Daphnia pulex: one gene and its partner. The protein of the gene in region 1 binds, or shares a complex with, the protein of each later gene. Links are inferred from orthologs where the notes say so. Each region holds a gene or a part of one and is shown on either strand. Other genes may lie near its edges.

What was found.
Region 2: serine/arginine repetitive matrix protein 1-like (region 1) and BUD13 homolog share a complex: the UniProt entries of both Homo sapiens proteins name them as parts of the minor spliceosome. The link is inferred for Daphnia pulex from reciprocal best matches to the Homo sapiens genes SRRM1 and BUD13.

Annotation. Positions count from the first base shown.
Region 1 is NC_060027.1:2,459,766-2,464,299, forward strand, and holds the start of serine/arginine repetitive matrix protein 1-like, read left to right. Parts: upstream 1-1,718; 5' UTR 1,719-1,867; coding exon 1,868-1,891; intron 1,892-2,050; coding exon 2,051-2,140; intron 2,141-2,225; coding exon 2,226-2,354; intron 2,355-2,667; exon of another isoform or gene 2,668-3,485; intron 3,486-3,686; coding exon 3,687-3,857; intron 3,858-3,928; coding exon 3,929-4,534. Other genes in the region: SH3 domain-containing protein Dlish-like, read right to left, coding at 454-502. UniProt on the Homo sapiens protein: Part of pre- and post-splicing multiprotein mRNP complexes. As a component of the minor spliceosome, involved in the splicing of U12-type introns in pre-mRNAs. Involved in numerous pre-mRNA processing events.
Region 2 is NC_060019.1:12,606,303-12,610,093, reverse strand, and holds BUD13 homolog, read right to left. Parts: upstream 2,336-3,791; 5' UTR 2,313-2,335; coding exon 2,200-2,312; intron 2,098-2,199; coding exon 705-2,097; 3' UTR 652-704; downstream 1-651. Other genes in the region: glutamate carboxypeptidase 2-like, read left to right, coding at 2,820-2,880, 2,946-3,066, 3,143-3,434, 3,498-3,620, 3,682-3,791. UniProt on the Homo sapiens protein: Involved in pre-mRNA splicing as component of the activated spliceosome. As a component of the minor spliceosome, involved in the splicing of U12-type introns in pre-mRNAs.

The DNA of each region.
Region 1 (4,534 bases):
GTGGGCGGCGAATAAAAATGTTCCAGCATCTTAAGGAATTTGGTTTTTTTACCAGTTTTAAAAAGAAAAAGAGTTTTTGCATGGCTCGAGGCGTCGTCGTTTCAACCTGGTCGTTTCAAAAAAAGTTCTTTGCCTTTTCACTGCGTGTGTGAAAAAACAAAATCCCCCCCGAAAAAAAGAAACGGAAACGATAACGAGCACAGACTCGAAAAAAATAGCAAAAGGGGCTTTTCTTTTCTTTCTTTTTTTTTTTACCCTCCTTTCACGACAATTAAACATACGAAGAAGAATTCTCATGTATGTGTGTGGATGCTCCGAACGAAAAAACCTTCCCGAGAACAATGGCCGCCCTCCTGCTATATGCATATGCACGCCTATAGGTATCTAGTCCGTCTGCTGAACACTTTTTTTTCAACCTGGTATACGTCTGGAAAAATTGGACAAGTTTGTTACCTTTTTTCTTCTTGCCTCGGCGTATCCTCACTGGACACAAGAAAGCCATGACTCAGGTGTGCACCAGACACTCAACACACACTAACACACGCACTATTAACTCGAAATCGATTGGTAAAATGCACTTGATTAGTTTAATTTGTTTGACACAATTAGCAGGGCAATGTCGATTGTTGTATGTTCAGTCGTCAGGTGAGAATGAGAATTGACACAGCAGCAGAAAGAGTCAGCCTGGAAGAAGGCCTGGTTTCTGCTTCTGTTCCATGGCCTCCGCCAATACCCACTGGCACTGCACACCTTGAAAAACAGTCTCTGCTGGTAGATGGGAAGAAGAAGAAGAAGAAGAAGAAGCAACAACTTTACCTCCCAATCCCCCCTCTAACCAATTCCATCCAACCAGGTTTTCTCAAATACAGTTTGTTGCCTTTATGCTCCAGGGGCTCTTTTTCTTACCTTCTTCTTCTTCTTCTTCCTTCATTCACATTCTTTCCCTCTATATGCACCTTTATTATTATATACCTTTGGGCTCTTCTTCTTCTTCTTTCGCTGCTGCTGCTGCTGCTGCTAATTTATTTCTTCCCTTTTCTTGAGGATTGGAGTTTTTTTTGTTTGGGAAGGAAGAGACGCTTTTTACCTGTGCACACCGCCGCGTCTTATAGCCTAGCGGTCACGTAAAAGGTGCGCGCATGCCAGCTCAAGCTAAAAGGGATGTAGTCAGTCAACCAACAAGAAAGCCTTTTATTTTCTTAATTCATTTTTTTTTCTTCTTTTCAACCATTTCTGTCTGTGGTTGATTTATACTTTTTGATGGTTATCTTATTACACTTAAAAAAAAAAAGCCTTTGGGGACAAAGTTGCACCGGTCGTACAGTTATTTTATAAAGGCAAAGAGAGTTCAAGGAGCTCAAGTCTACTTAATAAGCAGTGACCGTTTGCTACCTACTCGCAGGATCAAATGACAAAACAGGTTCCTTGCAATTTTGGCTTCAACTGAAAAAACGACATTTTTCTTATAGTCAAATTAACCGGTTGGACGCGCCATGATTTCGGGATACATTATTTCGCGTCGATAAATTGAGAGGAAACCTTAGATTGGCATTTTCCCGTTATTCGTCCAATTGATTTTGTCATCGAAGAAAATTAGTTATGCGTAGCGTAACCCATATTTGATATGTTTTGTCCTTTTTTTCTTTCAGAAGCGCTGGCAGGAGCTGGCGCTATGCATATGCAGCAGTCGATTTATTTTTCTAAACTGGCAATGCTGTTTCCATTTTCCTGACTGAAGGGACAAGAGGGAAGGCGATCAATTGAGTTAGGGGTCCTCCATTTAAGACTTGAGTTTAGCCCGGCTTTATTCTCCCATTTATTTTTACTTTTATAGAATTACCTCGATTTGAGGTATTTTTCTTTCACAATGACTGATGCCGGTTTCTTCAGAGTAAGTGTTAATAATTACCCAAGTTAGAACTATTATTCCCTTGAATTGTTTGCAGCATCTCGACACGCCAACTCGGTCGTAAAATTCTTGCTTCATCAGTTGTGAAATCTGTTTTGTTAACTGATGGGATGCATTGTAATATTTGAATTCTTTCAACAGGGCACCTCAACTGAGCAAGACAATAGATTTAGTGACAAAGAGAAGAAGCTTTTGAAGACTATCAAATTTGCTGAAAATGTGACTAGAAAGGTAAATTATTGATCACCTGTGCAACTTTAACAACATCAATATGAGTTACATGTTAATATTCATTAATGCATGTTAAAAAATTCAGGTGGATATGAGCAAAGTTAAGTTGGAAACCATCAAACCATGGATCACAACCAAAATTACAGAACTTATGGGAGGAATTGAAGATGACGTCCTGGTGGAATATGTTTTTAATCAGCTCGAAGCTGACAAGGTAATATCCTTTTAATCTCAGCCGTGTAGATTTATCTTATGGGAAACATTTGCCACCAAAGCTTTTCACCAATCATTCTGCTGTTTATCTTATGCAATTTTTTTAATATCAGGCTGAAATAGCCATCACATACTAAGAATGATTGAACGTCAGCTCCTTTGCATCTGGTTCTTGTTTGTAATTTGGTTTAATGTGAAAGATAAGTTATGATTTAAGTTTTCACCACCCAGATGGCTTTGATTATATTTTGTCTGTGCTCATGCTCATCTCAATATCTTGTACACTTTTGGGTCCTGTGTTATGAAGACTTAATGTGGAATTGCATCAAAGCCTTGTTGTCACCATGTCACACACACCACCTTGACATGATGGATGCAAGGATTCTTTCTCGACCGAGACCTGGTCGCATTATTTCGAGGTCTTCTCTTCGAATTGATTCACCTTTCGGCCTGTTCCGTGGACGATTCCTCTTATCGTCGGCCACGATGTCTATGGATTTGGATTTCCAACGTTTCGCAGTCGACCGATGAAGGATTCACTCCTGCGAAATGATGGAATACGGCACGTTCTAAACCATCGAGTCATGAGAGGCAATTCTGGGATCGCCTTTCGCCCAGCCAATGCAACGCCTTCTCCCCCAGTTGATAGTTAACCGCACAGTCGACAACAGGGAAAACTCCTGTGTGGTTAAGTCGGGCTCTGATCGCAGTAGGCCTACTCAGGAATCCGTGTTGAGAAGCTGAGAAGAAGAGATCCTTTCGTCTCGGCCCAAAAAGCAGGACGGTACAGTCGACAGAGATAAGACTCCTGTGCCGTTCGCTAACGTGGTCGAAGCTGCTAGATTTGCCTGATAGATGACGACAGACCATCCCATCTTTAAAAATCACCTGATCGATCGCATCGTGGTGCCGGGGTAGCCATCAGGAGTAGGACTAGTCAGATGACGACCCAATAGCTGGGCGGTACAGTCGACAGGACAACTCCTGTGCCGCTCGCTTCGTGGTCGTCTCTTTGATACCGAGTCGCCGGTGTTTTTATGACGGATGGGAAACTCGGTTCTCCCTCAACGCCCAGATTGGAAAAAAAGAAATAAGAGATTTTTTTCTGTTGTCACTCTGGTCGAGCTCTCAGGCAAGAATAACAAACCAAAACAAACTACGTAAAACAGCTTATCCTTTTAAAGAGCAAACCCCTGAAAGGTATTGCTCGCTTAATCCGCCGAGATCATACCGAAACCTAATCTATTTGTGTCCGTTTACTTAAGTATCTCTTTTCCATTTCGGTTGTTTGATTTTTCTGTTATTTGTCTTTTTTTTTTCTTAAAACCTATAGAACCCTGACCCTCGTCGCATGCAAATCAATTTAACTGGATTCCTCAACGGCAAGAATGCCAGGATTCTGATGACTGAATTGTGGGATCTTCTACTATCTGCCCAAGAATCGTCTGCTGGAATTCCGGAGGTCTTTATGGCACAGAAGAAGGAAGAAATCAAATTAAGAAAGGTATGCAACCATCGGAAATAATTCGCGGTATTAGTTTTGTTTCTATCATTTTCGTCTTTATTGGTTTGCAGGAAGAACAAGATCGAATCCAGGAAGCAATCAAAAAGGCCGACCGGGATCGGCGCGCTGACCGAGAAAAGGAACGCAACGACCGTACTGACAAACGAGCTTCCAAAGATAGAAGCCGTAGCCCCAACAAGGACAGGGTGATCAAGAAGGAAGGAGACAATCCCCGCTCTTCACCTCGTCGTGACGGCCGACGTCCTTCATTGGAGCGTCGTTCTCCTAATCGAGGCAAGGCGTCGCCACCGCCTCGTCGTCGCTCACCTGCCAGATCGCCAGCAAGGCGCTCGCCTCGTCGATCTCCACGTCGATCACCTGTTCGTCGCTCCCCAGCTCGCCGTTCTCCTGCACGCAGATCTCCCGCTCGTCGCTCGCCAGCTAGACGATCACCCGTTCGCCGCTCTCCCGCTAGGAGATCTCCAGTTCGAAGGTCCCCAGCCCGCAGATCTCCTGTTCGTCGGTCACCGGTCCGCAGGTCGCCCGTTCGAAGATCTCCCAGGCGTTCACCTGTTCGTAATCATTCTCCTCGGCGTCCTTCACCACGCCGTTCGCCCGTGAGGAAGTCACCCGTTCGACACCGGTCGGCGGAACGTCGTCGCTCTCCGATTCAACGA
Region 2 (3,791 bases), on another chromosome or scaffold:
CTCGTCGTGCGAGCCAATGGCCAATGGCTTTAGCAGTGGTGAGAGAGAGAGAGAGAATGAGACGGCAAAGAGAGAAGGTCTGGATAAACTGGGAATCAAAAAGGAGGAGACTAAACACAAGAAAAAAGAGAAGAGAGAAAGCCCCGAAACATAGACAACACGGACAACAGGGCACACCTGAAAACGGCCGGCCCACTTCGTGCCGTGACCTTCCTCCCTTCTCTTTCGACACACTCAGCCAAAGCGCCATCTGGCCATAGCGCACTCGACACACTCAACAGAAACGACCCCAACGCCTTTTCTTTCTTTTCTTTTTCTGCTGCTGAACAACAGAAGAAAAATGATTTGAAGGCAGCCAAGGCCGGAAAGGGTGTCATCTTCCGGATAGAATTTTCCGATTCAACCACGACGGACGATTCATGAATAGCCGCACCTCCTCTACAACATGGGTTGGGCAACTTTCACGAACTGCTGGTAGAGTCGCGACTCGGAAAATGTGCAAAGTGTTGACGCCATCCGCATGGAATTTCCTCCGCGCGCCTCTCGTTGAATCTGAAAAAAACCCTGCAATTTTGAATGTTGATGGATGGGCCCCATTCCGTCGAGGTAATAAAAAGGGAAATGTTAAGAACAAGGACAGGCGTCATTGGCTACTAAAAGTAATTGCATGGCTTTATTCAGTCAAGGTAAATTCATCATCGGAATCACATGTCGGATACACTCCATTTGTAGGCTTCCTCCTGAAGGGCCACGGCGTTGTTTTGTTTTTCAAAGTACATCTTCTCGTAGCCAGTCGAGCGGTCAACCCCGTCCCATCTGTAGCCGGGTAGTATACCGAAACGATTGGGAGCAGCAGCAGGGCCCCTGTAGACAGGTCTAGCGGCTTTCCCCTTGCCGTCACCACCGCTCTTGACCTTTTTCTTGGCCATGTAAGCAGCCATGGGATCACCTTCACGATCTTGTTCGCGTAACAACCTTTCCAAATCTTCGTCATCGGCGAAACGAGCCAGCGGTTTGGACATTTCGTGAATGGCTTCGGCAACTTGCGTCGAATGCGTTTCTCCTTGTTTAAGACCCTTGTTCCATTTTTGGTAAGCTTCTTGCAGCTTGGCAATCTTCTCGGCTTTTTCTTTATCAACCTGTTGCTTGGCTTCAATTTGGCGCAGCTTGCCAGCTCGGATGGCAGTCGTGGCGTTCTGCCCAGTGAGTGATTTGTCCATTTTGCGGAAGGCTTCCTCTTCTCTCTTGCGTAATGCATCAGTCTCCTCACGCAAAGCTCTGCCAGTCTGAAGGCCGGCCATCTTTCCATCTAGGGTTTTGGTCAGTTTCTCCGAAGCTCCTCCGCTGCGTGATGTTGATTTATTAGGACGCTCAGGGCTGAGGTCTCCGTCTGGATCTGGTTTGATGCGCATTTGGGCACCGGAATCAACGTTTTTCTTCCGCCGCGGAGGACTGAGATCACCGTCAGCATTTTGATGCTTTCTTGGTGGACTCTGGTCGGAATCGGAGCCTTTACGCCTTCTTAATGGACTTTGGTCCGAGTCTGAATCGTGTCGCTTTCGTTGTGGGCTTTGATCCGAGTCTTTCCTTGTTCTTCGAGGAGGACTAGCATCTGAGTCTGAATCGTGACGTTTTCGTGGTGGGCTTTGATCAGAGTCTTTTCTCGTTCTTCTAAGTGGAGATGGATCAGAGTCTGAATCATGGCGCTTTCTTCTAGGTGGGCTGGCATCTGAATCAGAATCGTGTCTTCTACGTGGAGGACTGGGATCTGAATCTGAATCATGTCTTTCTTTCTTCACTGTGATTGGTCGTTTCAAGGCAGTGGAATCTTTCCTTGGTAAGTGACTGTCACTTGAATCAATATCTCGATCACTTGATTTAGACATGGATTTTGGTTTGTCATTTTCATCCACACCAAGTCTCTTCCACTTTGAACTTTCCACAAAGTCTTGTTTGGTTATCATTTCTATGGAACGATTATCGACAACCCCAGCCACCAGAGGAGCATCTTCTTGGTTGTCAATTTGGTCTTCATCTTTCTCGTATCCTGCAGCTATCTTCCTCAAATCTATTTCTTCATCAACGATCTTGATGCCCCTAATAAGTAAATGAAAACAAATTGACTAGATTAAGAAAAAGCTTAAGTTAAAATTAAAAAATGATGTGTATTGTCTAAAGTTCACAAAAAGCCTGACTTACCCTTTGGCTTTCAGTAAGGGCCTGAGTTTCTTTTTCTTGACTTTATTTTCTTCTTTTTTCGAAGAGGACATGTACTTTTTCAGATATTCTAATTTGCTCATAGGAGCACTCATTTTTACAATAATTTCAGGGGAATATTTACAAACCGTAATCCCTCGCGTTTGTCAACGCTTTCACACGAAATATGAATACAAGCTCCACCTATGGTTAACGCGTGAAACTATACACCATCTATCGGGAAGTTTTCAAAATAAAAAAAATTGTTTAAAAAAAATAGATTTATGTAATAGCGATTTTAAAGAAATGTATTCATTGCCTATGGCGTTTACATTTTTTACAAGAGTCACCCGTCAGTTAAGCATGCGACCTGTCTTGTGTTAAACCACAAGCAACCGATGGTCTGGTTGGCTTGTCAAATCACCTTAGTTACTGTCCAGGTATTTGCGTGCCGCTGCATATGGAACACGCAATCTCGAACCCGACTTTCTACCCGCACTTCCCGTGCTTTCATTGTCATATTTTCAGCTATTTAATAACCTGTTTCTTTTCAAACCGTCGTTATTATTTGAGGTACAGTAAACGAGAACGGAAGGGTGTGGAGAAGTGATCGCAGCGAAACGATGGCGCAAAAACCCAACTGGATTTTAATTTGCACGGCTTCTGTAATTTGTCTTATCATAGGTATCGTAATCATTTGAAATGTTACTGTATGTGTTGGTTTGACTTCATCTTTCCACCTGACAAAGGAATTCTCATCGGTCGTTACGCTATCGGAAATGATAGGGACGACGTGTCGCCTCAGAAGGCGAAAATGTCTGCCACTTTGATGGAGGAGCTCAGTGCATCAAATATTGGCGAATATCTCAAGTAAGTCCAACATCATCGCTAATCAAAAGACAAATTTGATTCATTGTCTAATTAACTCCCAAAATGATTGTCACAGATATTTGAGCAGTATACCGAATTTAGCTGGAACTCCACAGGATTTGGAAGTGGCTAGTTGGGTGCGCGATCGTTTCGTCGAGGGAGGATTAGACGAAGTCCAATTGGTTCCTTACAAGGTGCTGCTTTCCTACCCAGACATGAGCAACCCCAATCAGGTCTCGCTACTCGACTCCAACGGCAAGGTGAACTTCACCACCTCAGGACGTCAGACGCCACTCTTTTCCAGCGAAGAATTCTCTCCGTTAGTTCAACCCAATTTTAACGCTTATTCAGCTAACGGAACTGTCGAGGTGAAATTAAATTTCTATCGTTGTTTTATTGATGACACTTAACTTAATTACACCATTTCATAGGGGGAACTCATTTACGCAAATTATGGTCGGAAACAAGATTTTGAGTACTTGAAATCTCTCGGCATAGACATTCGTGGTCGAATTGTGATTGCTCGATATGGGGCGATTTTTCGTGGCAATATCGTAATCAATTATTTTTAAAAATGTATTGAATTATTACTAACATTTGATATTTGTACTACAGGTGAAATCCGCCGAAGATGGAGGAGCTCTTGGAGTGATACTCTTTTCTGATCCCAAAGATTTCGCCCCGGAAGGGCGCACATCTGTCTATCCCAACACAACGCGACTTCC